Drosophila melanogaster: one gene and its partners. The protein of the gene in region 4 interacts with the protein of the main gene of each other region in a pairwise test. Each region holds a gene or a part of one and is shown on either strand. Other genes may lie near its edges. The genes, in order: CG13159, CG8841, Cpr64Ad and SPARC.

Region 1 (6,235 bases), on a different chromosome or scaffold from region 4:
GGAAATAACGTCGTTGGTCCCTCGAGGCCCTCACTAGTTTCGCTGGGTTGCGAATTTATCGATGGCATAGACGAAAGTTGTGTTAGGTATGTACGCATACTGATACGAAAGCGTGAATAACACGCGCCATTACGCCATAAATATCGAATATCTTTATACTATGCTGAAGATATCAACCATATCGCACCATAAACCCGAGCCGAAACTTTAAATTGCGGATGGAGATGTCCGGCGAGTTAGTCGTGCTTCGGGAGTCGTGAAAGGTGCTCTTGCTTGGACGGTTCTCGAATCTCTTCAAAAAAAAATGGGAGCCACTAGGAATGGCAAGGTGTGTGATTTCATATTGATTTACCCATTTAGGATCATCCCAAAGAGATCAATTATAATATTCTCTACTTTCAACAGCAGTCCCTTTCGGGGTCTGAGAACCTAATAATCGAGGTGGATGAGGACAAGATCCGTTGCAAGCAGTATTCCTGGTACTTTGCCCCCATCTACCTCCTGTTCTGGGTGGGTCTCTTCTTCGCCGTCATATATCCACTTTTCCAGGCCTTGCCCACCGGAATCAAAATCTCCGAGGAGGCGGATAAACCGGGACAATTCGTGGCCGAGAGAGCTCAGGAAATACTGCTGCAAATAAGTCGATTGGGACCCCGTGTGGTGGGTGATGTTGATAATGAAGTCACAGTTGTGAATTTGCTGCTCGCTGAAATCGAAAAAGTGCGCCAGGTGCTGCGAGACGATGTCTATGAAATGGAGGTGGAGGTGCAACGGGCATCCGGATCCTACTTGATCAAAGGCCTAACGAATCACTATCAGGGTGTGCAGAATGTGATCGTTAGACTGAGTACGAAGAGCTCAAATAGCACCTCCTACCTTTTGGTCAATAGTCACTACGATACCAAGCCGGGTTCACCTGGTGAGTCTAATGATGGACTGCATTTCGGATAGGCCTTCAATAACTATTGTCCACAGGTGCCGGAGATGATGCTGCCATGGTTGTCGTAATGCTGGAGGTACTGCGTCTGGTCGCCGTTTCAGGGGATCCCTTCCTGCATCCGATTATATTCCTTTTCAATGGTGCCGAAGAGCAGCCAATGCAGGGATCACATGGTTTCATCACGCAGCACAGATGGGCTGCCAACTGCAAGTGAGTTTGAGTCTCAGGCGGAGATCACCGGAATCTCTAATCCGCTATCCAAACAGGGCTCTACTGAACTTGGATTCCGCTGGCGCTGGTGGACGTGATTTGCTCTTCCAGGGCGGTCCCAATCATCCCTGGCTGATGGAGGTAAGTTCCCCTGTTTGTGGAGCTAAAAACCCCCCGAAAGTCGGCAACGCCATTGGTGATTCATATATTTGGGAATGCTCTGATCGCATTTCCGATATGGGGGCTGCTATATCACCCGTCTGGCTGCTGATCAATTAATCTAATCTTCCGCCTTATCTTAGCATTACAGAAACAGTGCCCCGCACCCGTTCGCCACCACAACGGCCGAGGAGATGTTCGAGGCTGGTATCATACCATCGGATACTGATTTCCGGATCTTTCGGGACTTTGGAGTTGTGCCAGGTGGGAATCTCGGCGCAAGAAAATATCCTTTTCAACCACACTACTCAGGAGCTCTTCTCTTTCAGGCTTGGACATGGCCGGCGTGTACAATGGATTCGTTTATCACACGAAATTCGATCGCTACGCGGTGATAAGTCTCGATTCCCTGCAGAATTCCGGCGACAATTTACTGGCCTTGGTATGGAGTATTTCGAATGCCGAAGAAATGTACGACACAGAGGTGGGTTTCCTCTTTCGAGTGGCTTTTGTCCATTTTTCATGGTAATCTTTCAACAGGCACACGCGGCGGGACATGCAGTATTCTTCGACTTTATTGGACTGTTCTTTGTCCATTACCAGGAGTCGACTAGCTTGGCCCTGAATCTCTTCTTCTCGTTCGGTGCCATTTTGCTGGTCTGCATCTCGTTGTGGCGAATGTCCCGGGTTACTGGACAGACTATGGGCACCTATGCCGGCGTCTTTGGACTCCTATTCCTGCTAGCCCTAGCTGGTGCTCTCCTCGCCGTGGCCTTTCCTCTGCTGATGGCCACCTTTTATGATTGGGGAAATAGAACGTTGACCTATTTTAGCAACAGTTGGCTGGTCATTGGGTTGTACATTTGTCCATCGGTTATTGGCCTTGTACTGCCCATGACCCTCTACTTGACGCATACGAAGTGTGTAAGTAGTATCACTTGTTAACGAAGTTATTTTGTTATACTAAGCTATCCTCTGCAGAACAAGATCCCCCATACTTATTACTTGCATATTGTGGGTCACGCGAACTGTGTCCTTTTGGCCATCTTGTGTTTGGGTGCAACGGCTCTTAAATACCGTAGTGCCTATCTATTTCTGATCTCTCTCATTTTCTACGTTGCTGCTCTGATCATTAACCTACTGACCCGTCTCCATTGTCGCGGTAAGTTAGCTTATATATTCGTGGAGAACTTTTAATGATTCATGCCAACACTTTAGGTTATCTGTGGTCACTGGTGCTGATTGTTTTCCAGATTATACCCTTCATTTACCACGCCTACTTGTTCCACATGTTCATACTTATTCTCATTCCGATGACTGGTCGCTTTGGCGTCTCCACCAATCCGGATATACTAATCGGCGCTCTATGTGGTTTTGGCACAATTTTGGCGTTATCTTTTGCTGTAAGAAAGTTATTCACATTTATTGACTACTTTACTTAATCAGTTTCACTTAGGCTCCTTTAATCAATGTCTTTCGGCGACCGAACTGCATGCTGGGTGGTCTGGCACTGGTTATGTTTATTTTCTGCATGATTGCCGTCTCGGATGTCGGATTCCCGTATCGGCCCAAAACAAATGTCATGCGTGCCGACTTCATGGTAAGGGAAACACTAATAAGCATCCTTTGAAAGACGACTAAGTTCTATTCTTTGTCGGAGCAGCAAGTGCATCGCAAATTTTTCGAGTACAATGGTTCCATCAGCCACGAGGATTCTGGCTACTACTTCCATCTGGGGGATCGAAACAAAGAGGCACCTCTGCGCGATCACATGAACCTGACCAACCTGGTACGCCTGGGCGAGGATTGCGACTCCGAGCTGATGTGCGGTATTCCCTGCTACCGATATTGTAGTGCCCGGGAGCATGCACTTTGGCTTGCTCGAGAGGAGCCCGTGGAACTGCCTTATCCAACGGTCTTGGAGTTCCTTAGCAAGACAGTTCTGTCCGGTGGCTATCAGGTGCGCTATGAGTTCCGGCTAACTGGTCCGCCAAATATGGGTCTGTTCTTCAAGCCACTGGATGGTGTAAAACTACTCCGATGGACGTTTGCTCCCGCAATGCTGGATAATCCGGCCACTTACAGGCCTCCTCTGGAGGTCATGTTAACCTACGGTATTGATAACACTCCCATCGAATTCTTCGTGGAACTTTCTGTGCGTATTTAATGGGTCGTTCTGATAACTATACTAACTAACTGATTCTTAGAAGGACGATGGCAACTTCAATGAACCCGTCTTTGAGATGGGCGTCTCTGGACACTATGTCAGTCCACATGATAAGCGGGATGCGTTGAGCCTGGAGTTCCTTGCCACACTTCCGGACTTTGCCTTCTCGATGGAGTGGCCCAGTAGCTACGAACGGCATATATTCTAGGATAGTTAGCTAATAAGAATACCAAGTCATTGACACTCCCAACCCGAAAAACTTTTATTTTTCGGAAAATGGAAGGGGATCAAACATTGGATGCATTTCACAATGAGTTGGTCGGTAAACATTGGTGGGGGAAAGCTAGCAATGTAGCAAACGGTAAAGGAACCATTTGTGCAAACATTACAGGGAATACTACGACTGCCGCAGTCAAAATATGGGTATAAATAGTGAGGCCTGGACCAGCGAAAGACACACTCAGAGTTCAGCAGCTCGTCCGTCGATAAGCAACAGCCAGCCAGCAATCCTAAAAGCCCAAAAAATCCAATCAACATGAAGTTCTTCGCTGTCCTCGTCTGTTTCTCCGCTGTCCTGGCCATCGCAATGGCATCTACCGCAACTACAACCAGCACTCCCACAACGCCCTCTTCGCCCACGACGACGACGTACACCTATACTACCACCCCGACCTACCCCACCTACACCTACACCACGGACACCACCACCACTAAGCCAATCAAGCAACAGCTCCTGTCCCTGCTGTTCAACAAGAAGTCCGGATAGAGCCGCCCATCCGATCCACGATGCTGCCACTTGATACGATCCTCATCACCTGAATAGCCAAATAAAAACACCAAATACCAAAAAACAAACAAGCGCCGTCTCTTGCTCTCACACAATACCGCAATCGAAGTTAACCATCTCACGTAGCATTGGGCGGTGGGACATTTGGGGCTTTACTTCCACCTCCACCTCCATTTCTACTTCGGCGGTAACTGACATTTGCTCAACTGGCAACGGAACGCCCCGGCTCAGGCATTACCGCCTTTTGGCCGGACCTGTTCAAGAAACATCTGTTCGGCTGCCGCAAAGGTCAAGCGGCACTTGCCACATTCAGTTAGCTGGTGAGTAAGTCAGTTGGCCAGCCAGACATGATCATGGTCAGGTGGCAGTCATAATCCCGCCAATGATGATCATCAAGCCGTTGAGTCAAATGTCTAATGACTGCACTGACAAATTGATGTAGGAATGCAGCAGTCTGTCCCTATTCCTCTCACGCTGCCGAGGATGAGTTATGAATGTCAAGCTGGTCATGTTCAACACGATCCGAGATGATCATAGTGCCTCCAACGCCCCTCGCAATACAGGTGCACAGTGGGCGATGGCTAGCTAGGATAGTTTCTATTGCAGCAAGCAATTGAAGATGCAACTGTGCTGATGATAACTTCCAGCATAACAACTTAATGTTGTGAGATATTATACTAAACTATATTTTTCTTTGCTCTAATGATAAAGTAGAGTCCCCACTGTGGCTGTCATGTAGACAACTCATTCGACAAATTGCAGCATATCGGATGGGTCGTGCACTTGTAGGTGGATTCGATTCGATTCGGTCCGGTCCGGTTCGGTTCATTTGCGCTCCATGGGAGATGGTATTGGCCTCCGACAAGAGCCACCTAAAAGAGGCTTCCGATCGGCGGGTCTTCAAAATGCTAGGCGTTCACTCTTTAATCTCCAACTGCAATAGTGTCTGTGTGCAAAAGTTCAAGCGATTTGGTATAAATATGCAAAGAGTCGCCTCTGTTGACCACAGTAACGGATCGAGACGAACTCGGAGCAGACGACCAGGACCCAGGATCACAGGATACAGCTCGGTTCGACATGCAATACACAGTAAGATGGAAGAGATCAACTTGGGTATACTCCATGCTGATATCGCATCCGCGTGCTTTCAGCTGCTCTTCATAGCAGCCCTGCTGCTCAGCTTGGCCCAGGCCAGACCACAAGTGAGAGGCCAAGCGCCGGGAGAACCCATTCCAATTATCAGACAGGAGCAGGAGGTCAACTTCGACGGCTCCTACAAGTATCTGTACGAGACGGGCAACGGCATCAACGCCGAGGAGGAGGGCTACCTCAAGAATCCAGGCACCGATAATGCCGGCCAGGTGGGTGTAGGAGAACTCCATTCACAGTCGTGCCTGGCATTTGCCGGCTACCAGTTGGCCAAACGAAACGAGCACTAACTTGCATTTGCCCTTTTACCGCTCCAAAGGTCGCACAGGGCTCCTTCTCGTACACCTCACCCGAGGGCATTCCGATTCGGATAACCTATCTGGCGGACGAGAATGGCTTCCAGCCGCAGGGCGACCACCTGCCCACGCCGCCACCCATCCCGCCTGCAATCCAGAAGGCATTGGCCTACTTGGCCACCGCTCCGCCGCCGCCACAAGAGCAGCCCGGCGGGTTCAACAACCGACGTGGTTAGGTAATCACATCGACTTCTACAATCGAATTACCTGGTTCTACTCAATTACAAAACGTGTGCGAATGAACAATAAAACTGGCCATACAACAACAAATGCAGAGTGGATTTTCAATGATTAGCAAATGATTTAGCTGTGGAATTTAATACTGACTTTAGTAGACTTAATCAAGTGGCAGATATGCAATCAAACGATGACGTCTTGCGATCTAATGACTAATGATGTATTGATTTCCAATTTACTTTTGCGTTTGGATCGATTTCTTATGCGATTGTAAATATATTGGAAATAAC
Region 2 (9,879 bases), on a different chromosome or scaffold from region 4:
CGTGAACCAATAGAAACACCGTTCGCATGGCAGCCTGAGCCTTTCCGTTCAATCCAAAGTTCACAGCTTGCTGGGTTTCATTGTTCGCCGGAGCGGGCTCATGCTGTTCTACGCTGCTCAGCAGCGTTGTGAATTTGCAGAGAGTTAAAACGAGGGCATCGAAGTCCGAATGCAGATTATAGTGCGCCGATATGGCAGCGGATTTGCTGAAACCTGAAATGTAATCGTAATGTGAGATGTGAATGGTAATTATTAGATGTTTATGTACGTACCTGCTAGAGTTCTTTGGTAGCCCGTTTCAGTGCTTTTATCAAACATAAAGCTTAGGGCGCTCAGAGAAGCACCCCACACAATATTGAAGATCTCCACGTCGTATGATGCGTCATGCACATAGTGAAAATGTCCATCGTGCGTGTCTCCTCGTCGAAGCAGTACTTTCCATTGATAATTTTCACGCACCAGACCCGTTTGCTCTGCTGGCATAACGATCTCTTCGTTCCTTAAATAATTAATAATCGGAAATATAAGCAAATGAGAGTGACGCTATATGTACTAAAGCTTACTTGATTGCATTAAAGACTTGAGCCAGCATTTCTTGATCGAAATCTTCGCCACCGTTTAGACCACGCAAATTCTTAGTGAAGTCCTCGAGCGTCATTGGAACATTTAAACGCTTCGCGTTCGAGTTGTGCTGATCCATGTTCAGCATGATGATGGCATAGGCCAAGCGAAAAGCAGCGTCTACGTTGGCAAACGGATCTTGGTTTTGTTTCTATATTGGTGGGATACATACATGATTAATATCAGAGACTGCAAGTATTTTAGTAGATGTGTATACTCACATGCCAATGATCAGAAAAGTGTTCCAGCACCAAAAAGATCAATGGAGCCTCTCCGGGCAATCTGAAGGTCTCCAGATAAAGACGCAATGCTTGATCCACTCGAAGACCAGTGAAATCAAACGAGTCCACAAAATTAATTAGAATCTTAGAGTCGACGTTTTTCTTTTTCGAGATATATTCGCCAATCATTTTTTTATCGAGCCCGGGATTTTCTCGAAGGAACAGGGCCACCTGCATGGGATCAAGCTCGGCATTTAGGATGCCGTGTTCTTGCAGATACTGGATTCCTTTCTCTGGACGCTGATTAAATCGCTCTGTGCCTTGGGATAGCAGACGCTTCTTCTGTTTGACCTTGGCCAGCTGTTCACTGGTTATTCCCACTCCCTCTCCGCCAGATTGTAGTCGTAGTCGATGTGAGCTCGCATTTATAAAGCTTGCGATGTTCTCCACTTTCTCTTCTGCAGCTACACTATTGCCAGAATCAATTACGATTCCCTCCAATCCGCTGTTGTGGCGAGAATGGCGGCTGCCACCTGTTGCTGGGGCAGCTTCTGGCAAGGACTCTCTGTTGTTGCTGCTATTCTTGCTCGCGGCACAATTTCGCTCGATACTGTCTATCACACTTAACAGGGTGTCCATTGAGATAATGTGGGTGCTATAAACTGCATTCGTTGCTGACAGCGTATACTTGCTCAGTAGGTTTGTCAAACTTTCAAACATATCCGTGCAGTACAAGTCACAATCGTAGTTGATATACAATTCCGTGACGAAGCCGGGAATGCGCCACAACTGCAGTAGATTGTCCAGAGCGAGTTCTCGCATTTCGTAGGGCGTCTTGGGATTATCGCTAGCAATAATCTCGCTCAATTTTCTAAGGTAGGCTTCCAGCTGAAACTTGAGATGTCCGCGGAGAGACTCGAAAAGCAAAAAACAGAGCTGCAAATCGGCGGCAAAGATGCTAAGCCGCTCTGAGCTGAGAAGCTGTAGGGAAAGGAAAGAGTTAGGTCAGAAATAACTAACGAAGCAATTAAGAGTCCCTTACCGATATTAAGTTTCTGCATAAGTCGTCCTTAACCAGCTCCAGCAAGCCCTCATACTTTCCAATATTATCGGCTGCGACTTCAAAAGCTACAGTAAGTAGACTAAGACCCGTGTGCATCATGCTATCCGAGTTCTGCTTATCCAGAGGATTGCAGAGGATTATGAGGAATCGGAACAACTCCTGGATGAAGGGCAGGCCATAAGGGGATAGTGATGTTACATCGTGATCGGTGGACTGCTGTGTAAAACGGACGCCCACCGAGTTGATGTACTCGCTACTATTTGCCTCGGCCAGGGTGCTGGTTGCTTCACCCGTTTCGCCGTCCAGCAAGGGCTCCGATTCAGTCGACTCCACTTGAATAACAGGAGTCTCCGGGACAGTGGTTTCATCTTCCCCCGTGCTCGCCGTTGTTGTTGGTGTCTGCGTAATCTTGCCCTGCATGTCCAATATGTTTCCCGCTGGACTGGCGGGTGTGGTGGCCAATATGGGTGCCTTCAAGTGCCCTGGCACCGTCAGGTTGGCAGACTGCGGTGTTTGAGGCGGTTCCTCCACTGCTGACGATTTCCTGGGTGCTGTCTGGGCTTGGGCAACCGTCTTACGCTTTAGTTTTTCTTGGGTAGCTCCGCTGGCAGCATCGCCGATAGTAAATCGCTTCTGGAGCATGGTGTCACTTCGCTCTTCGGCGAACTGGGGAAGGCGCATGAAGAAGAGCAGCACCATGTCCTTGAGCGATTTTTCCGCCGAGCGACGAAGCAGTTCACTCAGCCTCGGCTCGAAGGAGATCTTGAAGCAGCTGAGCATCACCTCGCACATGGACACATTGCTGACGGCGGCTCCTTCGGGACTGCGGATAAGCGTGTGCAGCACCTCAATCACTCGCATAAAGGTGACACCATCCGAGGACTGATCGGTGCCCATAAAGCGGGCATGTGTCACAGCATCGGCAATGCGCTCCACAATGTCAGCCAGATTTGGAGACGTGGGATCTGTGGATAGGTACAGAATGAGCAAATGCAGAGGGTAAGCACTAAATCATAATACCTATTAGCCCGTAAGACAATAATTTGTTAACCGAGGCCAAGGCTAGACTAGTCAACGGACCCGTGGCGTCCGCCGTGCGAATCACCTCAAGAAACGGAGCCAGGAAGACCTGAGGCTCGATCTGACGCAGGTCCTCGATCCGATTTAGCTCATGCTTGAGGTCAATGAACAGCTTCAGCAGCGAGTCATTCTCGTCGTCCTGTGGATGTGCAAAAGGGCCATATACTTTCTATTCGCAGTGAGCATTAGGGGCACTATTTACCACGTAGGCGGTGGCATTCCAACGCGTTCCACGTCGCATCGCCGTCATCAGGGTGGCCATTTCGCCCCGCACCACGTAGATGCCGTTGCCTGGAAGCGCCATGGTGTCCGCGTGTCCTCCGTTGCGGTGTCTCTACGACTGCAGCTAGTTGGCTTCCAGTTCCAGGGCTAGCGCTGAAAATTGCAGTTTTCGTGGGGCAGGGCAGCTCCTCCTCCCTTCCCGACGACCTTCGCATATGTTTTGGCACTCGCCACTTGCCCACTCGCACACTCACGCTGCCTGGACGAATCTGGGCGTGCTGCCTAGTTGGGCATCTCTCACTAATCCTAACTAATCGAACTGGTAAGCTGCTAATTTTTGGTGACGTTTACGTGTCGTTTATGTTCTTGTGTGCAGTCCGAATATTTTGCACAAGCGTCTTCCAACACCGGCGCGGCAGTTCGTCGCTTCGCAGCACTGGCACAGCTGTAGATGCCAACTCGATGCGGAAATTTCAATAGATTAAATTGAAATACAGCTGCAAGCGTATATAAAAAAAATATAACCTTGTTTTTAAAATAAAATATGTTGCCAAGCTGTCGATCAAATTGATTTAATCAAATTGATATTTGAATATGAGGGCCAAAACAGGTGAGCATAATCAGTCACGCACGCATCTTCAGTCGTGAGCGTTACACCCACCACTAAGTTACACTGGCATTTGGTGCGTAGGCGAATTTCTAATTGGAATCGTTCGATTTTTGAAAAAGAATCGCATTAAATGCAAAGCATTCCTGTTCCAGACTACTGCGCACACTTGCACTGAGGCGATCGAGCACGGGGCAGGTGGATTTACAGGACTCAGCGATACCAAAGCAGCCCACAGGCCGAACAATATGGGAAACACGGACTCCAAGTTGAACTTTCGCAAGGCGATTGTGCAGCTGACGCAGAAGAACCAGAAGATCGACCCCAGCGACGAGCAGTTCTGGGAGCAGTTCTGGCAGGGCCACCAGACGACGCTGGAGGATGTGTTCGCGCTGGTCACCTCGAGCGAGATTCGCCAGATACGGAACGAGAATCCAGCCAACCTGGCCACCTTATGCTACAAGGCGGTGGAAAAGCTTGCCCAGGCGGTAGACAGCAGTTGTCGCACGCAGGCGGAGCAGCAGTGCGTTTTGAACTGCGTGCGGCTGCTCGTCCGGTGTCTGCCGTACATTTTCGAGGACGAAAAGTGGCGCGACTTCTTCTGGAGCAGCCTGCCATCGCAGGACAAGACCATGCCGTTGGCTCAGTCACTGCTCAATGCCACCTGCGACCTTCTTTTCTGTCCCGACTTCACGGTTACGGCCACGCGGCGTGCGGGCCCCGAGAAGGCCGAGGAGTTGGCGAACATCGATAGCTGCGAGTACATTTGGGAAGCGGGCGTGGGTTTCGCCCAGTCACCGCCCCACAACGCCCACATGGAGCGCAGGCGCACGGAGTTGCTGAAGCTATTACTCACCTGCTTCTCGGAGCCCATGTACCGATCGCCGCAGCAGTCCGAGGAGCCCAACAAGTGGATAGCATATTTCACCTCGGCCGACAATCGCCATGCCCTGCCGCTGTTCACCTCGTTTCTGAACACCGTGTGCTCCTACGATCCGGTGGGCTTCGGCGTGCCCTACAATCACCTGCTGTTTGCAGACACCACAGAGCCCCTGGTGGAAGCGTGCCTTCAACTGCTCATTGTCACCTTGGATCACGATATGGTGGTGCAGCAGCAACTCACACAACCCGGACAGGCGTCCTACGACGAGGGCAATTGCGGCGACAACTTGTTCATTAACTATCTTTCGAGGGTTCACCGCGACGAGGACTTTCACTTTGTGCTCAAGGGCATAACCAGGCTGCTGAACAACCCACTGGTCCAGAACTATTTGCCCAATTCCACAAAGCGACTTCATTGCCACCAGGAGCTGCTTATTTTGTTTTGGAAAATATGCGACTACAACAAAAAGTTTCTGTATTTTGTGCTAAAGAGCTCCGATGTTCTGGACATCCTGATTCCCATTCTGTATCACCTAAACTACTCCCGAGCGGATCAATCTCGAGTGGGCTTGATGCATATTGGAGTATTCATACTGTTGCTCCTATCGGGTGAGTCATATGTCATATGTTTTGTTCGTGGAATCAGTGCACTTACACTTAAATAAATGTTTATTGATAGGTGAGCGAAACTTTGGGGTTCGGCTTAACAAAGCATACTCCGCCACGGTGCCCATGGATATACCTGTGTTTACTGGAACCCATGCGGACTTACTCATCACTGTGTTCCACAAAATAATAGCCACTGGCCACCAGAGGCTGCAGCCGCTTTTCGATTGTCTGCTGACCATTCTGGTAAATGTCTCACCATATCTGAAAACCCTCTCGATGGTGGCTAGTGTAAAGATGTTGCATCTCCTGGAGGCTTTTAGCACACCCTGGTTTCTGCTATCGGCACCCAGCAATCATCATTTGGTGTTTTTCCTGCTGGAGATCTTCAATAACATTATACAGTATCAGTTCGATGGCAACTCGAATCTAGTCTACACCATAATTCGAAAGCGTCATGTGTTCCATGCCATGGCAAATCTCCCGACCGATATGGCTGGCATAGCCAAGTGCCTGAGTGGCCGTAAAACAGGTGGAAAGTTTAACTTGCCGCGGGTACCACAGCGAAGAACGCCAGCTGTGTCCCAGGAACTGCCCTCGGCCCACGTGCCAGAAGAGTACAACGAAGAAGACGAGGATGAGGACGAGGAGGAGATAATTAATGAAGAGCCCAAGGCGGAAGAGGATCTCGAATCGGAGACAGAGTCTCATGAGCGATCTCAGGCGGGGGAGCTGCAGTCGGACGTTCTCACGGCGCAGCCAGCCGAGCCAGGAACACTGAAAACGTCCTTGTTGGACACCCCGGGCATTACTCAGATGACGGAGCGGGAGCAGGCGCATCCAAATGACAAGCCTCAGGTGGAGGATTCTACAGACATTGTGCCCTACGACAGATCAGCCGCTTCGACGCCAACTGACGAACGCAAGTCCACCTCACCCACGGAATTGTCCCGCTTGTCGGTGGCCCACAGGGCCAGCATTCGCATGGTGCCTGGCGAGAGCGATCGTTGGACGCCCACGCCCGAGTGGATCGTCTCCTGGCGCTCCAAGCTGCCGCTGCAGACCATCATGCGACTGCTTCAGGTCCTAGTGCCCCAGGTGGAGAAGATCTGCATTGACAAAGGACTGACCGACGAGTCGGAGATCCTCAAGTTTCTGCAACACGGAACGTTAGTGGGACTGCTCCCAGTGCCGCATCCCATTCTCATCCGAAAGTACCAGGCCAATGCGGGCACAACGGCATGGTTCCGCACCTACATCTGGGGTGTCATCTACCTGCGCAACGTGGAGCCTGCCATCTGGTACGATACGGAGGTCAAGCTCTTCGAGATTCAGCGCGTCTAGGTCAGTAAGTGGACTCCCAGCTACACCAGCAGCGCAATCGTAGCTTACACGCTTTGGCATTTACTGTAGTTAATTTATTTAGTACATATTTCATTCCAAATGTTTTTGTGAAGAATCAGTGTGTAATGAACTACCTTTCCCACAATTTTGCTTATTGGCAACAAAAAAAATGAGGCTTATCAGTTACGATGTGGCATTGAGATCCATTCAACAGATTTGTTATCGGCTTTTAGCATTGATATTTAATTGCTTTCCTAATTTGTTTTGAAGAGTGTTCTAAAAAACAGTATAAGCACAAAGTGTTTTTATTTTAGTTAATGACTAAATTATTAAACAACTCATGTTTTTGTAATCTGTGACAGAAAATGTTCCTTGTGCCGTATATTTTATTGCATGGTTTTATTTATTTTATATTTTAATAATTTAAAAATTTCCTGTTTTTACTTATGTATGTATTTAAGGTGCAAATACCAAGAATAAATTACTTTCACTCAGCCACTCTACAAACGATTCGCTTTATCCAAACAAATTTGTAACTGCACCTATTGACACCATAAAAAGCTTTACGTTCTCTTGTAATGATTAGGAAACTTTAGTTGAGTCCAATGAACTGCTTTGTAAACTTAATTAAATATAGACATTAATGATAGAATTGAGAAAGTGTATTAATTTACTGTCTACGTGTGCTTATAAACTATATACACAAACTAAACTTATGACACCTATACAAGTCAGTTTATATAAATCATTTACGAAATATAGAGCAGAACCCAAGATAAGTAATAAATAATAAATAAATTTCATAAAACGAATTGAATCTTGTATTTTAATTTATAAGAATGGCCAAATATAGAGCCAAATGACAGTTACTAAAAAGCAGTTTCATATCAATCGATTTTACATTCTTGTAGGTTGCGTTCACGGTGGAGAGAAAGGACTTCATCCTTTCTTTTACGCTTCTTCAGTCGTTCTGCTTGCTCTCGATCCTCCAATAGTTTGACCAAATGCTGATGCCAGTAGAAGTATTTGAAGAAAAACAATAGAAGCAGCACCGAAGTGGTGACAATGGATGCGGTTGTGATCTCTACGGGCTTTTCGCCTTCCTCTTCCACCCGCTCCGAGAAATGGCGGGTGGATATTCTAAGGCCGAAGTTTTGTTTGCTTGCCGCAACATTGGGCCGATCCATGAGCACCGAAGGCAGCAGCGGTAGTTGTCACGACTGGATTGTATTGGAAGTGGCAGTGGATGCGGGCACTGGTGGCGGAGCTACTGGAATAATCGAGAATTTGATAAACGCGCTCTTGCTGCGCCTTTGCACTATTCTGCCAATTAGTTGTGGTTCCTTAATGGTCTGTTCGATGGCCTTTACTATGCGCTCGGCGCTGCTCTCGTCCGATCCACTGGCATTGCCCTGGATAAGGATGCGAACCTCGTGTCGCTTGCCCAGCCACTTCACAATGTTCTTGAGTCTGGAGGAGAGATCGTGCTCTGTGATGCGCGCACCAATGGTAAGGGATTTCTCCGTTTTCTTATCCTTAACTTTTTCGCTCGCTGATCTCGACTGCTCCGCATCATCCGACAGCATTTCAGCAGCTGTGACTAGTCTGCAAAGTATAGCAACTTCATAACAATGACCAGGCCCCGATGATAACCATATATACCCACTTGAACATGGCTCTTCCTGTTTTAGCATCTGTTTGCTCCAATCGCAACAGGTGCAGATCCCGTCGCTTGGCCAGCTTTTGGGCCTCCTCCAAAGTGGTTATGCTAATTGACTGGTTCTGTTGGATCAGGGTGATCTTCTGGACACTTGCCTTTAGACTCCGTGTATCCCTCGTTCTACTGTCTCCTGGGCTTCCACCCACCGGCTTTTGGTGCTGCGCCAAACTCCAGTAAACGGTCAAGGGACGCAGGTGTTGCTGCTGAATCGCTGCTGCGGCAGCATGATTAAACATTAATCTTATGCGTTGCATGCTTCTCTTTCAAATATATTTTTGTATATCTCTTGGTTATTTTCGATTTTCTTTTGCTTGTGCAATTTTTTTGTCTCAGAGTTGTCAGGTTATGTGAAGCAGTCTGTTTTAACAGCTGTTCCGGCAGGTAAGTACCAGCTGACGGCTGGAGTTATCGATAATTCAAGCCGCCAATAACACCCAAGTTAAAAAGAATTAAGTGTAGTATGTTTATTCTTCAGAATGAAAAATCAGTCGGGTAATATGATACAACAACCAGGATCAGCAGGCTCATAAAAATTTCTTCAAAATATGAAATGTTTTTCCTCAGAAAACCGATAGAGACATAGAAAACCGATTGCTCGCATGAATTCTAAAATTTTGTTTTTGTATTTTGTTTTTTGGTTTTCGTTCTTGGGTATTTTAGAAGCCGAGCTTTGAAATCGACTTCAGTTCCTAAGAGAGACATCACGATGAAACTACAAGTAAGTAAAGTGTTCTGCTAAAAAATATTCAACTATAAAGTGTTTTTTATCCTTTAGTTCCTCCTGTTTGCCTTGTTGGTTTGCTGTTTGGTCAGCAATGCTGCAAGTATATGTTGTTGTACGAAATATGTTGTGCGTAATGGGAAGTGTAAAAAAATATATATATGCAGCCGTCACAGACATCATTGCAGAAGCCATCGAGAATCGTGGTGTGGAGATATTTTCCAATATGGTTAGGAGGCGAAAATTAGAAAATGTTAATCGAAAAACTAATTTTATAAAAATACAAATAAAGTTTGTAATAAATGTTTTAAATGTGGTTAAAAGCGAAATATGAAATATGTAAACAGGAAAATATATTTTCTTATTAAAATACAATTAAAGCTTGTTAATTAATGTTTGAAATAAAGCTCATACAATGATTAAATTACAAAAATAGTGTAATAATAATATACAAAGTTTTAAGTTCCTTAGTAACTGAGAAAGTCGAGTCATTCGAGTTACGCAGACTTTCTCTGCTTTTAAGCTTATCAGGGACCTTCTCAGCTCACAAAACCGGAATACCATAATGCGAGAAAGTGTGTACGTACTGAAGATTAGGAATATATGTATGTACATGAACTTAGACATTAAAGGAAGAATAATCAATAAAATTGGGCAAGCCCCATCCGTTTGGAATTAATACATAGCAAATATTCTAAAAGATTGGTTGTGGAAACGATTTTTGTTTTAGTGCTGCAATGTTGGGTCAATTGTCTTTTTTTTACGATTTAATTGTTAACTTCAGTACTTCAA
Region 3 (6,912 bases), on a different chromosome or scaffold from region 4:
GTTTTTGTGCCTGGTCCACCTGCAAAAAGTTTCCCCCATGGACGTGCCATCCAATGGCCCAACTTGCACAATTCTCCCCTCCATTGAAGCCCCACCAATATGAATTGTGATAACCGTAAATATAGTTGGCACTACGTGATCGGAATCTAAGATTGGGAGCTTTAACTCGAAGCTCGGGACCTACCCCAATGTTTAACTGGGTTAAGCAGGGGAATGTGGAGCATTCCTAGAAATATTTCAACTTTTCGAATATCACTTCCAACCGATCAGTTCCATCGAACAACTAATAACAATTCATTCAATCTTTTTTTTTGTACCGAAACTTTTATTCAGTAAATGCAGTTACTAATTCACTAAGTGGCCGATAGCCGTTCCCCAGATCCCCAGAACGGTATCCCTAAACGTAGTCTATGGTGGCGATCCTTCGATCGGAGATTGGGAATGTGGGTCAACAGCGGGGTGGCAACAGCACGCACGTCCTTGTGTTTCGGGTTTTGACTGACAGAAAAGTGGGTAAATGCATTAGAACTATTTAACAACGGTCCTACAACTAGGCCATGGAGTTTGTCATCGCTTGGTCCACCGGTTCATCGCCTAGTGGTATCCACCCAGACTCAGACCAGGCGCCGAAGCGTATCCAATCTTGGTGATGGCGGGAACGGCGGCGACGGCAAGAGCTGGCTTGGCAATGGCCACCGCGGCCACGCCCTTCTTCTCCACGACCGCATTGAATCCGTTGACCTTGTCGGCGGTGTAGGTGACCTTGCGAATAGTGCCATCGGGTTCGGCCAGGGAGTAGCTGCCGTGGACGACTCCGTTGACCAGGGTCTCCTCCTGCTGCTTGGAGTCACCGGTGTGATGATCGGTTACTCCGTACGAGAAGCTGTACTGCGGATTGGGATCGTAGGGCTCGGCAACAGCCACCTTGGCCACAGCGACGGGGGCAGCCAGGACCTTGGGAGCATAGGAGATGGCAGGAGCGGCATACGAGATGGCAGGAGCCGCCAGGAGTTTGGGAGCAGCATAGGAAATGGCAGGAGCAGCAAGCAACTTGGGAGCCGCATAGGTGAGTCCAGGGGCCGAAAGTCCATAGGGATCAATGGGAATGGCCACAACGGCGGACAGGATCAGTCCCAAAACGAACAGAGTCTGGCGAGGAATTCCATGATCAGTTGAGCCAACTAAAAGCTGCACTCCTTTGGCCAACTCACCTGGGCAATCATGGCGAAGGATGTGAGAATGAGGGAGCTCTGGTTTGGATGTGTCTGCACTGCGAGAACTCAGCTCAAATGTGAGATGCATTTTCCGCGTGGTCTTCAGTTTTATATTCGAAACTGGCGGCAGCTGCCAGCGGAAAAAAAAACTGGACAATCTAATGGGCAGAGTGACAATTGCGTCTCATTTGGTGGCTGCCCGATCTCGATCTCGATCTTGCACCCCAGACCTCATCGCTGATGGCGGATTTCGTGTTTCTGGTGCGGATTTCATCATTGGTGCTGGCTTTTCTCAATGGAATAACTGCAGCCGCCGCTGCCGAGGCACACCACTCACCGAAGTCCATTTGAGTCCGTTCAAGAGCGCCGCTCCAAGATACCCAGCTAGTCAGCTACCAGCAACACCAGACTCGTTTTCCGCTGACTCGCTGGCCGATCTGGTTTCATTTTTTCGCCGTTTTTTGGCACATTCTCAGGTTCTCCAGCCAAAATTTGTCTGATGTAATAAGTGCCTCATATTGTGGCAGTTTCAGTTGCAGTTGCCACAAGAACAGTGACAGTGCTTTTTTAGCGATTGTAGGTACCCTTTCAAGAAAAATCTTTAATATCATCAAAGACCTAATGAAAATATGTATTTACTCTCAATTTTCTGAAAATGTATGAAACCAAGATTACAATTGGATATGTAAACACTCATTTGGCGAACATACTTCAATCAATATTTGAATATGTAATTGAAATGCCTGCTGTTAAGTTATGCCGATTATCACTCACACGCCATGTTGTCCAAACGCAAGCAAATTTCGCTTGGTTTGCGTGACGTGCGAGTAATCTTCATAGTAACATACATGTCCAATGTGCCCACCCAAAGTGCAGGGTATAAAAACAAGATCAATCGTTCGCAGCCACTCGTTTAATTAGAAAACGAAAATGGCAAGTTTCGACGGCTTGGTGGAGGGAATGGAATTGGGCGGGACGCAGGCGCAATTACGCACTGGCACACGCATTAACCCCTCGACGATCCGATTTCCACCTGACCAACTGGACCAGCGCCCACATTGCTGAGCCCGGTCACTTAGCCACCGTAATTGCCTCGATCGGGCCAAAAAGCATTTAGCCGGCATTTGGAAGCTCTAACCGCGGCGACCTTGCTCACAATTGGCAGCTAAGTGGCTGTGGTTAGTATTTCATCCACTTTTAATTAATTCTCATCTCAGAGCAGAGTCAAGCGATTGGGCAAGGAACTGCATAAATGGCAGTGGAGCATTCCATTCGCTTTGGCCAAATTGGACGACTGTATATCCATGCTGGTTTCCGGTGGCGACAATCTACGCCGACAACCGTTAGTCAGCTACCACAACCCGACGAGTAATACCACCATTTGGTGCCAACTTTTGGGGCTCTCTCCGCTTCTCCGGATCGCTCAGCGTCTCTCCGAGGTGAATCCGCAGCCAACGAGTCGCAAGGTCGTTGGTTGCATTTAGGAAAAGAGTCACGAACTCAAAACCAGCCACCAGTTACAGCACGAAATCGATGGGGAATCTTTAATCAACCATGGAGTTAGGCAAATTCCAAAAGACCAGAGATTCTTGTTGTTACTGAAGATATTTGTTAGGAAAGCATGTTAAATTTAAAATAAGATTTATCCTTTTCAGCAAAGTCGTTTAGGGGAGGAACTAAAAATCTCCTTATGGAAACATAAACCAAATGCATGGCCATTTATTAGAATAATATCAATATAATTGATGTATCAAATGTTGATAATCTTTCAATAGATTTACAATAGTAATATATGGGTATATAGTATATATATTAGTCTAATCGATATTACTGGGCCACATTGACCCAGTTTCACCTTGTTAAGTGAAACCGAACCCCTTGTGAAAACCCTTATTATGTATAAGTGGTAACTCATTAGCATAAGTAATTGATACCCAATAAGGTGTATAAGAAACTTTCCAATTTATTTGAGACAACCAATTCAAGTAGTACATCAAAATCAGGATCATTACACTCTAAAGATACTTTTTTATCCCAGAGATATATTAATATTAAGTTTTTGAGCTTGAACCCTTGTCAACTCGACGTCATTATGGTAACTTAATTATAAGTTTCGCGCTTTTGGTGTAAAGGAAAATTAAAAGCACTGTCATTGGATGGAACCTGCATGACAATTACCGAAAACTACTGCTCCGAAATATAATCAAATCGCATTCACTTTCGATCCGAACAAGGCAAAAACAGTGGCAAATAAAAATGAAAACTTGGTGTAGCCACCGCAAGACGACTGAAAATTGGAGTACGTGCTGCGAATTTGGATCAAAGCCCGAGACGCAGACGCAGCCAAATGCTGGGTAGGAAGAGGCGGCCCCAAAAAGCGGCGATGGTGATGATGCGGGGGGCAAGGAGCTCGGACAATGGGCTACCATACGCAATTGGTACGCAGTTCCCTCCACGGAGCACCGCATGCAAATTTCGCGAACGCATCTGGGTATAAAAGTCGTGGTTTTTTTGTCCAAGGTATGTCAGTTCATTTTCGATAACCGACGGTGACAATCGCACTAAACCCCCACCCAAGCCTTACAATGAATCCTCTGACGGTAAGTGTTGGTGATGGCTTCGGTGAACCCGTCAGGTCAGGAGACTAAACTGGACTCCATGCATTTTCCTCACAGGTTGTTGCAGTCCTTTCCTCGATGGCCCTCTCGGCTCAGGCTGGTCTGGTTGGCGCTCCTCTGGCCGCCGCTCCTCTGGGTGCTCCTCTGGCTTACTCCGCCCCTCTGGGACCTGCTCCATACTTCGCCCCGGCTGCGTACTCCGCCCCTCTGGGCTACGCGGCTCCTTTGGGATACAACGCCCCTCTGGTGGCGGGACCTGCTCCCCTGGTGTCCAAGACCTACGCTGCCGCTCCTTTCGCCGCTCCCTTCGCTGCTCCAGTTGCCCCAGTTGCTGCTCGCCTGGCTGCCCCAGTCGCCGCTCCTCTCGCTGCCCCAGTTGCTCCAGTAGCCGCTCCCCTGGCTGCTCCAGTTGCTGCTCCCCTGGCTGCTCCAGTTGCTGCTCCCATCGCCACCGAGATCGTGGATGCCCACCCACAGTACAAGTTCGCCTACGATGTCCAGGATACGCTAACCGGTGACTCCAAGACCCAGGAGGAGACTCGTGATGGTGATGTCGTCCGTGGATCCTACTCTCTGATCGAGCCCGATGGTTCCCGTCGTATTGTCAGCTACTACGCCGACTCCATCAACGGTTTCAACGCAGTGGTGCAGAAGGATGTGCCCGTGGCTGTTGCCCCAGTGGCTCCAGTTTTGGCCAAGACCGTGGCTGCTCCAGTGGCTCCAGTTGTGGCTGCTGCCCCCGCTCCAGTCTTCGCCAAGACCCTGGCCGCTCCCATCGTCGCCTAAGTAGAAGGAGGAGAAGTAGGAGTCGTAAAGGAAGTATTGACCGCAATTCGACAAAGGACTTTCATCTGTACATATTCGATTAATCATTGTCGAGCTATTGAATAACTTTCATCGCAAAAACCCAAAATTAAAGAAATTCTGAAAACAAAAGATTGTAGTTTATTGTTTAAAGGCATCCTGGATTACGAGAGTGATATCATATAGAGGCTTAAGAAAATTATTTAAGTATTTTAGCTTTAATATTTATAGGTAATATTTATATGTATCATTCTTTATATTTTAAGGATTACACTTAAAACTTGGTGTTCTTTTTAGGGAAGTGGATGAAGAGTTCTGGAAGCTTTCGCAACATGAGAACGTGGCCAGGATGCGTCTGAAATTGGAGCCTCAGTTATATCCAAATAAACACGAGAATGCCGCCAATCTGCGCGACAATGCGACCAGTGCCTACGACACCAAGTAAGCCCAGCCAGTCCTTAGTAGTGTCCTTCATAATCTGATTTTCAATATCCTTTATCTTAGGGAAATCTCTGAATTTGACTCCACCATCAAGAATGCCGTGGTGCGCGATTTCCTGGCGGATGACGAAAGTTCCCAGCTGGAGGAGGAACTACGTCAACTGATCGACACGCAAGCGCAACAGGATGTGGCGCTGGAGAAGCTAGTCATGTCACAGGACTGTGAGCTGATCACGCTGATGACCAAGGTGAAGGGACGCATTGAGGTTAACCAGAGCGTGTTCACCTTTGTGGACTTGAGCCCGCCAACAGAGGATGGTTCCAAATACGATTTCAGGTTCTCCACCAACAAGATACGTGAGGTTCATCTGCGAAAGTACAATCTGCGCAGGAGTGCTTTGGAAATCTTCCTGGTGGATCAGACTAGCTACTTCCTCAACTTTACGACGAAGGTGAGTTTTTTTTTTGTAAATAAAATGTGATCATTGCAAATGTTCTTATTTCTTTAAGACTCGAAATAAAGTTTTCACAAAAATCGTGGGTCTACCGCTTCCAAACATACTCTACGGCTCGGGAAGATCGCCGGCTGAGCTGCTTAGGGCCTCGGGACTCACACAGAGATGGATCAATCGTGAGATTTCCAACTTTGAATACTTGATGTACCTAAACACAATCGCAGGTAAGCAAATAACATCTGATTATTACATACATTTTTATCAAACTAACGTATTTTACATAACTAGGTCGATCCTACAATGATCTAAGCCAATACCCCGTCTTCCCCTGGATCCTTGCTGATTACACCAGTGACGTGCTGGATCTTACCGATCCAAAATCGTTCCGTGACCTATCCAAACCCATTGGATGCGTAAGTATTACTGAAAATAGAAAAAGGTGATCAGTTACATGACAAACGCATTTCTACCGCAGATAAATCCTAAAAACGAGGCCGAAGTGCGCGGCAAATATGATTCATTCGAGGACCCCTCTGGTGCCATACCAAAGTTTCACTACGGAACCCACTACTCCAACTCGGCCGGCGTGCTCCACTATTTGCTTCGCGTCGAACCGTTCACCTCGCTGCACATTGATCTGCAGAGCGGTCGTTTCGATGTGGCCGATCGACAATTCCACTCGATACCTCAGACGTGGAAGTTGCTAATGGACAATCCCAATGACGTGAAGGAGCTGATCCCCGAGTTCTTTTACTTCCCAGAATTCCTTAAGAACATGAATAAGTAATGCATGTGGTTTTTTACTTTTACTTAGTTAGCCTAATGTTATTTTATGTGCAGATTTGATTTGGGCCACTTACAAATAACCAAAGAAAAGGTGGACGATGTCATATTGCCTGCTTGGGCTACCACGCCGGAGGAGTTCATAGCCATACACCGACGGGCTTTGGAATCGGAGTATGTCAGTCAGCATCTGCACCACTGGATTGATCTGATCTTTGGGTATAAGCAAAAGGGACCCAAGGCAGCTGAGGCTCTAAACGTTTTCTATTATTGCTCCTATGAAGGCGCTGTGGATTTGGACAAGATCACCAACCCTGTAGAACGGGAGGCGGTTGAAGGTGGCTTACACCAAGACTTTTTTTTTTGCTATTTTTATTGACATCCATTCATTTATATTAGGAATGATTAATAACTTTGGCCAAGTGCCTTCACAGCTGCTGCGGGAGCCACATCCACGACGCCTTACTCAGGATGAGACGGCTCTAAAGCTGGTACGTGCTGAGCTCCGAAGGCCGGATCTTACTCAGTTCCTGGACAAGGTGGTGCAGTACTACTGCGAGCTGTCCACGCCCAAGGATCCCATTGTGTACCTGAGTCC
Region 4 (8,742 bases):
CGATTTTGATTGAGTTAAATAATATTAAATGAACATAAATTAATGGTTGATGAATAGCTCGTGAAGAGGATTTTAACTGGGTATTTATACCTGCATTTTCGAAACGGAAGTAATTTAGTGAAATGTCACTAGTTTAATTGATGGCCAACATGAAATTAACACGAAATTAATTTTACGACATTTATGCGCACACAGACCCAATTAGACGATATCATTTTTTTCCATATTTTTTTTTTTTTTTTTTTTTTTTTTTTGTGCCGGAGGGGGTTGCTCGAAATTATTTTGTACATTGATGTAATCAATTTTTCAGAAACTTTGTCGTGGCCAATGGTTTTATGAGCTCTATAATGGGTCAGGCTGCCACGACCATGCCCCCCGGAGGCGTCACTGGGGGCGTGGCGGTGGGCGTGGGCCTAAACTACTATGCCGCGGCAGCGACGCCGGCAGCGCTGCCCAAGGATAACACGCAGGATGCCAATTTCATCGACATCGATGACCAGTTCCAGCGCCAGCAACAACAAAAACAACAACAACAGCAGCAGCAGCAGCGACGTCGAGAAACAACAACGCCTATTAACATTTGCTAATACTTGCTAATTGATTACATTTATTTGAGCTTTAAACTGTTTAGATTAAGATCGAATAAAAGTCATTGTGAAAACATAACAGATTGCAGGAATTGCACTTTTCGAAGAAATCACTCACTGCTTGCCAACAAACTTACGTGTGTTGTTATGGACTCAGCATTTTGCACTTGATTTATTTATATAAGAGAGGGTTTTTGAGGGAAAACCAGGAAATTTGTTAAAAACCAAACAGCAAAACTAACAAACAATAATGCAGCCCTGGTGCTCAGCCAGCTGTTTCTGCTGCTAATAACATGGCGGAAACTATCGATAGATGGTTACATAGATGGTAACAGTGTTATTTCAAATTTAATTTATGAAAATATCCTAAATGAAACAAACATTATCCCCCAGTAGTTCCCGCCAGATAAATGGCCATAGCTTCACGATTTAGATGCACAAACTGGCGCCTTTTCGGAATTGGTTGGACATTCGGTAGCCGCGTTCCATTCACGGCATTCAAACTCAGATTCGAGCTGGGATCGTAGTCATCGGAGAAAAGTGTATCGTCGGAAGAATTGGACTCAACCAACTGGCTTCCTGCTCTTTGAGCCGCCGCCGCCGGCGCTGCGCTAGTGGTTGATTCTTGCTCCTCCGAGGATTGTGTTGTGGACACACTAGCCGCGGACTCATGAGATTTCTCACTACTGCTCCTCGAGAGAATAGCACTGGCTGCCTGTCTATTTGCCAGGTGTCTCTTCGCATTGTTGTTCTTCAGCCGGTAGAGCTGGATCAGTTGCGTGTAGCACGAGAGGCACAGTGGCTGAGACCGCAGCTCCGAGTTTATCAGCTGGCCAAACTTCAGCAGGTGCGGATTTCTGATTACGCGGTACGGGGACCTCAGCGTGTGATTCCCCAGACCGCACAAGCGGTGCTCCTCATGGGGCGAATCCGACATTAGAACTTAAGTTGAATACTCAATTGAATGCATAAAGGGGCTAGTATACGTTGGCGGTTTTCGCTTTGCTTCTGAAAAACTATATTACAATTTGACAGCTATCGCATATCCAATTCGTGTATGTATTTATTATTACGATAGTAAAGAAACTTGGCACTTTAGAAATTTCAAGAATACCCCTAACCAACTTATCGATAACAAACAGAGAGAGTGGGTGTATCGAATCAATGATTCGCTTCCTGACAGCACAATTTTCACTTCGCTTCAACCGTTCGACGTGCAAACTGGTCGTTTTCGTTTCTTAATTTCGGTTAAATTTAGTGATAATTAATTTGCTAACACAATGGTGAAGGATGAGCCCCTATCGGACGAGTCCGCCGATGTGATTGTGCTTGCAGATCGCGAGGAAGATGTAAGTACATACGCGTACCTTTCTGTGCATGTATGCGGCTTGGCAAGTGACGCACCTATATTTGTTTCCCTTCACACATACCACCCTTCACCACATGCCAACCCACTTGGCTAACCCACTTACCACCTCTGCACCGGTAGGACATATGCGAGCTGGAGCACTTGCGTAAGCTCTTCATCGGCGGGCTGGCCCCGTACACCACCGAGGAGAACCTGAAGTTGTTCTACGGCCAGTGGGGCAAGGTGGTCGATGTTGTGGTGATGCGCGATGCTGCCACCAAGAGATCTCGCGGCTTCGGCTTCATCACCTACACAAAGTCTCTCATGGTCGACAGGGCCCAGGAGAACCGTCCGCACATCATCGACGGCAAGTGAGTATAGACTTGGTGGGGGATCATATCGTACCAAGAATAGATCTATACCATGAGGCCTTTCGCTTCCAGAACTGTGGAAGCCAAGCGTGCTCTGCCCCGTCCCGAACGCGAATCGCGCGAGACCAATATATCCGTGAAGAAGCTGTTCGTAGGCGGTCTTAAGGATAACCACGATGAGGAATGCCTTCGTGAATACTTCCTCCAATTCGGGAATGTAGTCTCCGTTAAATTGCTTACTGACAAAACCACTGGCAAGCGTCGCGGCTTCGCCTTCGTCGAGTTCGACGACTACGATGCAGTGGATAAGGCTATCCGTAAGCATAAAAGCTAAAATGCTAAATATTAGATTGATATTAATTATGAACCTTCATCCCGTTTAGTTAAAAAGCAACATGCGATTAAGTACGTTCACGTGGACGTCAAGAAGTCCATTTATAACCTGGACAAGAAGGAGAAACAGCAGCCAGGTGGGCTGGCCAACGCCATCAAGCCGTCGCTCAATCAGCAGCAGCAACAGCAGGGTGGCGGACAGCAGCCACCTAATGGCAATATGCAGGCACCTAGCTTTCGACCACCAGTGCCGCCACAACAGGCCATGGGCCCCTACCAACAACAGCCACCACCGGCGCCTATGTCTGCTCCACCACCAAACTTCAACTACTGGGGACCACCTCCGCCGGCTATGCCGCCCTACTACCAGCAGCCACCGCCGCAGCAGATGAACGGCTGGGGTCCATATCCGCCGCCGCAACAAAATGGCTGGAATGCACCACCACCGCCACCACCGGGTGCCCAGCAGTGGCACGCCAACCAGTGGGGTTGTCCTCCACCAGTGCAACAGGTGCCGCCGGTTGGAGCAGTGCCACCACCCATGGGTCACAATGGACCACCGCCGACGGCTCCAGGTAACTGGAACATGCCGCCCCCAGTGCCGGGTGCAGCTCCTCCATCCCACCAGCAGCAGTCTTCGCAACAGCCAACACCACAACCAAATTTCGGCACTGGCTATCAGCAAAACTACGGAGGCGGACCATCCAAGCACAACAATATGAATGCAAACCGCATGAATCCTTACTCGGCAGGTCCGCCCAACAGCTACCGTAGGTATAATCCATTATTAAAGACATGTAATTTTGAACAGCTACTAATTGTAGACACTCCTCAACCACCAGCATATACGGGCTACAACGCTGGACCACTGCCGCCTAATGGAAGCGTTCCGCCGCCAACTGGGGCCAAGGCTGTTGGCGTATCCAATGGCTCCGTGGCCACTGGAGGCAGTGCCAACAGCAAATATCGCCGCTAGATTGGGTGAGTAGCCGTACCCGCCATTAGTCGTTTCTTTTGAATGTGGTCTATGCATAAGAGCTACCTCAAATACGTCTTGCCACGAATATATCCATATACGCATATATTACTCGCCATTGATGCACTACGTCTGAAGTACTTGTTTATGTGTAATTACTAATGTCTAAAATTCTCTTTGATTTAGATGCTCTTTGGGCGGCTAAAGCTCAAGAATCAAGACACTCTTTAGTAAGCTCGTTCATAAGCTAGGCCACACTCGCTTAGAGTTACTAAGCAGGAAACTTAACGCATTGTCTCTCTATCATAGGACAACTAACTACGATTTTACTGTACACTTAAGCTATACCATTGATTACCCTACGATTGACCTAAGCTATGGCAGACTATATATAACTATTTTATACAACGTATTGCGAGGAGCGAGCACTTCTCCAGTTCGAATTACTCTAGACATAATTATGAAACTCTGTATCGTAGAAGAATGCCCAAAATACGATACGAAATTACAACAGGCTCTCTATTTAAATCTAAACCTCTCTCTCTATCTGTAAAACAAGAAGAAGGATTGTGCAATGGTGGAGGATGGAAGAACAATTGCCAATCAAGATCAATTAATTAGACATAAATCACGGAGCTGTAGCCTGAGCTTATTGGCCCAAAACAAGTAGTTTAATCGTAGATGCCTATGTATTACCTAAACCATTCAAATAAGAAGATACGTCCAAACAAAAAAAACACAAGAAACAAGAAACAAGAATATAAGAATCCGGAGCGAAGTCGGATCCCAAATCAAATCAAATCATACGCAGGGCTGGCGGGCGTGGCCTTAACTATTAATGTACACAAGAGATGATATCAAAACAAATGTCAATTTTTACAAGAAGCAAGAATCGGACACTTATATACTGTATTAATGTTAAAGGTTTCTTATCTCGTCGCCCACGATGTTAATTCATATACTACATATATCTCTTCTTATTTGTATATCATGACGAACTCAAAGAAGTGTATATACCCGAAAAAAATGCGAAGAAAATGTATATGCTTTCGGATTAACTAGACTTACGATTTATTCTCGACTCTCTCCTATTATTAAGCTGTTGTGCACGCCAAGGGCTTTGAATTGATCTTTATATATAATGCAGTACTGAAATAAGAGAGGTCTAGTCCACAATTTGCAAGATTCGTTATGCTGCATTATCGAGATACAATTTATCACTTAACCGAACTCTATGAAAACCCATACGCATATTTATTTTAAATAAATACAAATTAAAAACAACACTATGTATTTGTTTTAGCTGACGATATGTAAGTCTCTTTCTCTTTAGCGATAGCATAAACTATATTTAGTTACCGTTATGCCATTCTAGATACAAACAAATATCGCTCTAATTTTAAACATACTCTACTCTACAAAATACTCTTGAGACAAAGTTAATTCGTAAGGTAAGTTAGTAACGGATCTCATCTAGGATAAACTAGAGTTTTTATAAGTGCTCTTAAGTTTCTAACTTATGTGTATCTTGTTATCGAATCTTTATTACGCTTTTCTAAGCAAACAACCTATTTCTTTTCCAAAAAAAAAATAAACCCCCGGAGCAACGCTGGAGTGGCCTATTTCAAAAGACCAAGGCTCAAGTTTCCCATAAACTATGAGGTACGTAGAAGAGGACACGATTTATTTTATGTGTTGAAAAGCAAGAAACCAATAAAAAAGAGCTGCCAAAATCGAAGCAATCAGTGTTTTTATTCCAAGCGAACATGTTGGGAGCCAACACGTTGGAGGCGACACCAAAACCATGGGCAGGCAGTGCTCCATGCTCCACTTTGGCGATCCGTAATCATTCCGAAGCTTTTCCACAGGCAAACAGTCGCCTGCCATCCGCCAACGCGATTAGACATTTGAAGGGAAACACTTTTTCATTGAACGCACAGTGAGTACTCACGCAGAGTGAAACAAAGGATTGAGTGTCGTAATCGGATTAACAAAACAAGTGTGTGACATATGCAGATACAGATACTTTGCTTGTTCCTCAAATTTCTGCAAGCTCAGCTCTGGCTCGAGTTGCTCAAGTTCAATGTTCCTTGCTCATTGGCAAATAGTCAATCAATTGGACTTTATTTTCGATGAAATCAGTTCGTTAATTGGTCAGAACTGAGAAGCAAAAGTAAGTCCAGTGATTTGCAAGGTCAACTGTGAATTGCACTTCCGCCAATTCAAGTAGATTGTATCTGCTTTTGGTCCACTTTCATTCGCGATGCATAAACATTGCATCTTGGACACTGCATCACGTCATTGTTTCTAGTTTCGTCGGCATAATTAAACAAACACATGTGGAAGTATATATTGCATTGTATACATAGATATATATGTGTGCAACATGTGGAATGCACTGCAGCAGCATCCCACTCTCGGATATTCCTGGAAGCTCCATTCCGCGAGATCGCGTATACATTTCTCAATTGCCAGATACATAGCTGCGCATTTGACTTGATGTTCAGCGGCACAAAAGCGACGATTAAGCACATCTTGCTTGTGCTACCCAAAACGGAAGCGACCGACCGATCCTGATAAGCGGCGGTGGGGCCAAGTCGGGCTGGAACCTGATAAGCCAACTGTGTCGTTGGGCAACCAATGATGTGCCATATATGCCATATAGCACATGTACTAAGATTGAGCATAGAACTGGGGCGACATCTTGAAATGATTACGAAAATTCGGCTTGAGTTTAGCCTGTGTGTGTGTTTAGCAATAGGATTAAGGTCAGCTTTAATCAGGTATATTCGCATTAATGGGAGCATCTGCATATATAGATGATTTCATAAACGATTTGAACTGCTCAACATGTGTTCAACATGCCCCAAATTCTGAAATATTCAAACATATTTCAAATTTGCGGTTGCAAAAAGCGAGAAAAATGCTTATTTGCAGCAGGCAGCAGGAAATGAAAAGCAAACATTGAAAATTCTGAGATTTTATCCATTCCCCCGACTTTGTTTCTATTTTAAAAACTCCAGATCTGCAGTAGTCATCTTCCGCCATCAATGAGTTGGCTTTGTTGTTCCACAAGATCTAAAGATCCATAAATAAAATTGCCCATAAAAGGAAATGCATCTGTATCTGCGCGCCACATTCGCGTTGACCTTTTGAACCCTGCAAGATTTTTGCGGCTTCTTCAATTGTTTTCAATGAGCAAAAAGACGCCGCACGAGATGTGCATGTAAAACCACCCCGTTGTTTGGTGGTTACAAGATCGCCAGTGGAGTACAGTAACGACGCAGCGCACACGGTACAGTCGCAAACCAATCCTTGAAACGGAAGTTGGGCCAGGGCCACAGCTAATCTCAATGTAATTTGGGTTTTCACAATCGCAATGACTTGATAATGTACTCTATTTATAAAGGCACTTTTAGTTCCAAATATATAGTTTAAATATAAAGAGAAGAAAAAGGTGTTTTAAAGATGCTTTACTTGCAATCCCTGTAGTTGAGATCGCCATTCGAGATGCGCTCCCTTTGGCTGCTGCTCGGCTTGGGCCTGCTGGCTGTGAGCCACGTCCAGGCCTCTACGGAGTTTTCCGAAGATCTGCTGGATGAGGACCTCGACCTGTCCGACATCGATGAGAACGAAGAGGAGTTCCTGCGCCTGCTGGAGGAGAAGAACAAGGCATGTGGCCGCAAGTCAAACCACAAATCACACTTAATGCACTAACTGAATTCCATTCGCAGATCAAGGATATTGAGCGCGAGAATGAGATTGCCACCAAGCTGGCCGAAGTGCAGCACAATCTACTCAATCCCGTTGTCGAGGTGGATCTGTGCGAAACGATGAGCTGCGGAGCCGGTCGCATCTGCCAGATGCACGACGAGAAGCCCAAATGCGTGTGCATTCCGGAGTGCCCGGAGGAGGTGGACACTCGCCGCCTGGTCTGCACCAATACCAACGAGACCTGGCCGTCGGACTGCTCTGTGTATCAGCAGCGCTGCTGGTGCGACAGCGGCGAGCCCGGCTGCACCAATCCGGACAACGCGCACATGCACATCGACTACTACGGCGCTTGCCACGAGCCCAGGAGCTGCGAGGGCGAGGACCTGAAGGACTTCCCCAGGCGCATGCGCGACTGGCTGTTCAACGTGATGCGCGACCTGGCCGAGCGCGACGAGCTGACCGAGCACTACATGCAGATGGAGCTGGAGGCGGAGACCAACAACTCGCGTCGCTGGTCGAACGCCGCCGTGTGGAAGTGGTGCGACCTGGACGGCGATACCGATCGCTCCGTCTCGCGCCACGAGCTCTTCCCCATCCGTGCTCCGCTGGTCAGTCTCGAGCACTGCATCGCACCCTTCCTCGAGTCCTGCGACTCCAACAAGGACCATCGCATCACCCTGGTGGAGTGGGGCGCCTGCCTGGAGCTGGATCCCGAGGACCTCAAGGAGCGTTGCGACGACGTCCAGCGGGCTCAGCCCCATCTTCTGGGTTAGGACACAGCCCATTTTCCATATCCACTTCTGTAGTATGCAATAGGTAGTTACTACTTGCTTCCTTAATCCGAAAAATGTCTAATTTAGCAGTTAATTGTGTAAATGCTCGCTATTCAATGAAATATATAACAACTTCTTTGAAATAATACGCATTTTGAAAAACGTCAGGTCAGTCTATTCATTATTATCTTTCGGATGAAAAGCTACAGTTGTGATATTTTGCTCTAGGCATTTACACGTTTATTGGGCTTACAAATACATTGGGTTCGAGCTGCTAAATGCCCTGATTAAAACTGAACTTTAAGCGATACTACTGCACTTTTCTCACAATTATGAAAAACTTGTACTTCTTACAGCTGAAATTAATTACCATCTATGTAGTTGCAATTCTTTACATTCATCGACACAAGCGCAAACATCTCGTCTAGTTTTTTTTTTTTTTTTTTTTTTTTTTGGAAATAACATGATTGGCGTTTTTATTATAGTTTTTTTTATTAAATTTATTCGTGTAATTACTTTGCTCTAAATTAAGTTTTGTTTTTGTTTCATACTCAACCTCGCCAAGGATGCGTGCGGGTAAATACGTTTTGTGTGTTTGTATTTTTTGTTTGTATGTATGTGAGTGTTGGGGAGATGCTAG

What was found.
Region 1: the proteins of SPARC (region 4) and CG13159 interact in a two-hybrid assay, tested with the Drosophila melanogaster proteins (one large-scale study listed by BioGRID).
Region 2: the proteins of SPARC (region 4) and CG8841 interact in a two-hybrid assay, tested with the Drosophila melanogaster proteins (one large-scale study listed by BioGRID).
Region 3: the proteins of SPARC (region 4) and Cpr64Ad interact in a two-hybrid assay, tested with the Drosophila melanogaster proteins (one large-scale study listed by BioGRID).

Annotation. Positions count from the first base shown.
Region 1 is NT_033778.4:12,371,358-12,377,592, forward strand, and holds CG13159 (uncharacterized protein), read left to right. Parts: upstream 1-3,928; 5' UTR 3,929-4,011; coding exon 4,012-4,242; 3' UTR 4,243-4,321; downstream 4,322-6,235. Other genes in the region: CG13160 (uncharacterized protein), read left to right, coding at 305-328, 406-919, 976-1,150, 1,207-1,291, 1,453-1,573, 1,639-1,793, 1,850-2,233, 2,291-2,471 and 4 more; Cpr49Aa (cuticular protein 49Aa), read left to right, coding at 5,341-5,352, 5,415-5,624, 5,732-5,944.
Region 2 is NT_033778.4:12,320,084-12,329,962, reverse strand, and holds CG8841 (uncharacterized protein), read left to right. Parts: upstream 1-3,704; 5' UTR 3,705-3,817; intron 3,818-3,847; exon of another isoform or gene 3,848-3,969; 5' UTR 3,970-4,062; coding exon 4,063-5,305; intron 5,306-5,375; coding exon 5,376-6,646; 3' UTR 6,647-7,456; downstream 7,457-9,879. Other genes in the region: garz (gartenzwerg), read right to left, coding at 1-213, 273-499, 564-772, 843-1,823, 1,885-2,870, 2,926-3,124, 3,188-3,289; mIF3 (mitochondrial translation initiation factor 3), read right to left, coding at 7,861-8,251, 8,313-8,620.
Region 3 is NT_037436.4:4,211,651-4,218,562, forward strand, and holds Cpr64Ad (cuticular protein 64Ad), read left to right. Parts: upstream 1-3,728; 5' UTR 3,729-3,799; coding exon 3,800-3,814; intron 3,815-3,889; coding exon 3,890-4,618; 3' UTR 4,619-4,764; downstream 4,765-6,912. Other genes in the region: CG43367 (uncharacterized protein), read left to right, coding at 4,934-5,077, 5,141-5,528, 5,587-5,755, 5,820-5,944, 6,007-6,314, 6,372-6,652, 6,714-6,912; Cpr64Ac (cuticular protein 64Ac), read right to left, coding at 595-1,149, 1,212-1,223.
Region 4 is NT_033777.3:26,868,738-26,877,479, reverse strand, and holds SPARC (secreted protein, acidic, cysteine-rich), read left to right. Parts: upstream 1-5,484; 5' UTR 5,485-5,554; intron 5,555-6,912; exon of another isoform or gene 6,913-6,970; intron 6,971-7,107; 5' UTR 7,108-7,125; coding exon 7,126-7,287; intron 7,288-7,349; coding exon 7,350-8,102; 3' UTR 8,103-8,242; downstream 8,243-8,742. Other genes in the region: ro (rough), read left to right, coding at 311-587; ms(3)K81 (male sterile (3) K81), read right to left, coding at 970-1,524; Rb97D (ribonuclear protein at 97D), read left to right, coding at 1,868-1,936, 2,077-2,306, 2,379-2,623, 2,690-3,409, 3,464-3,615.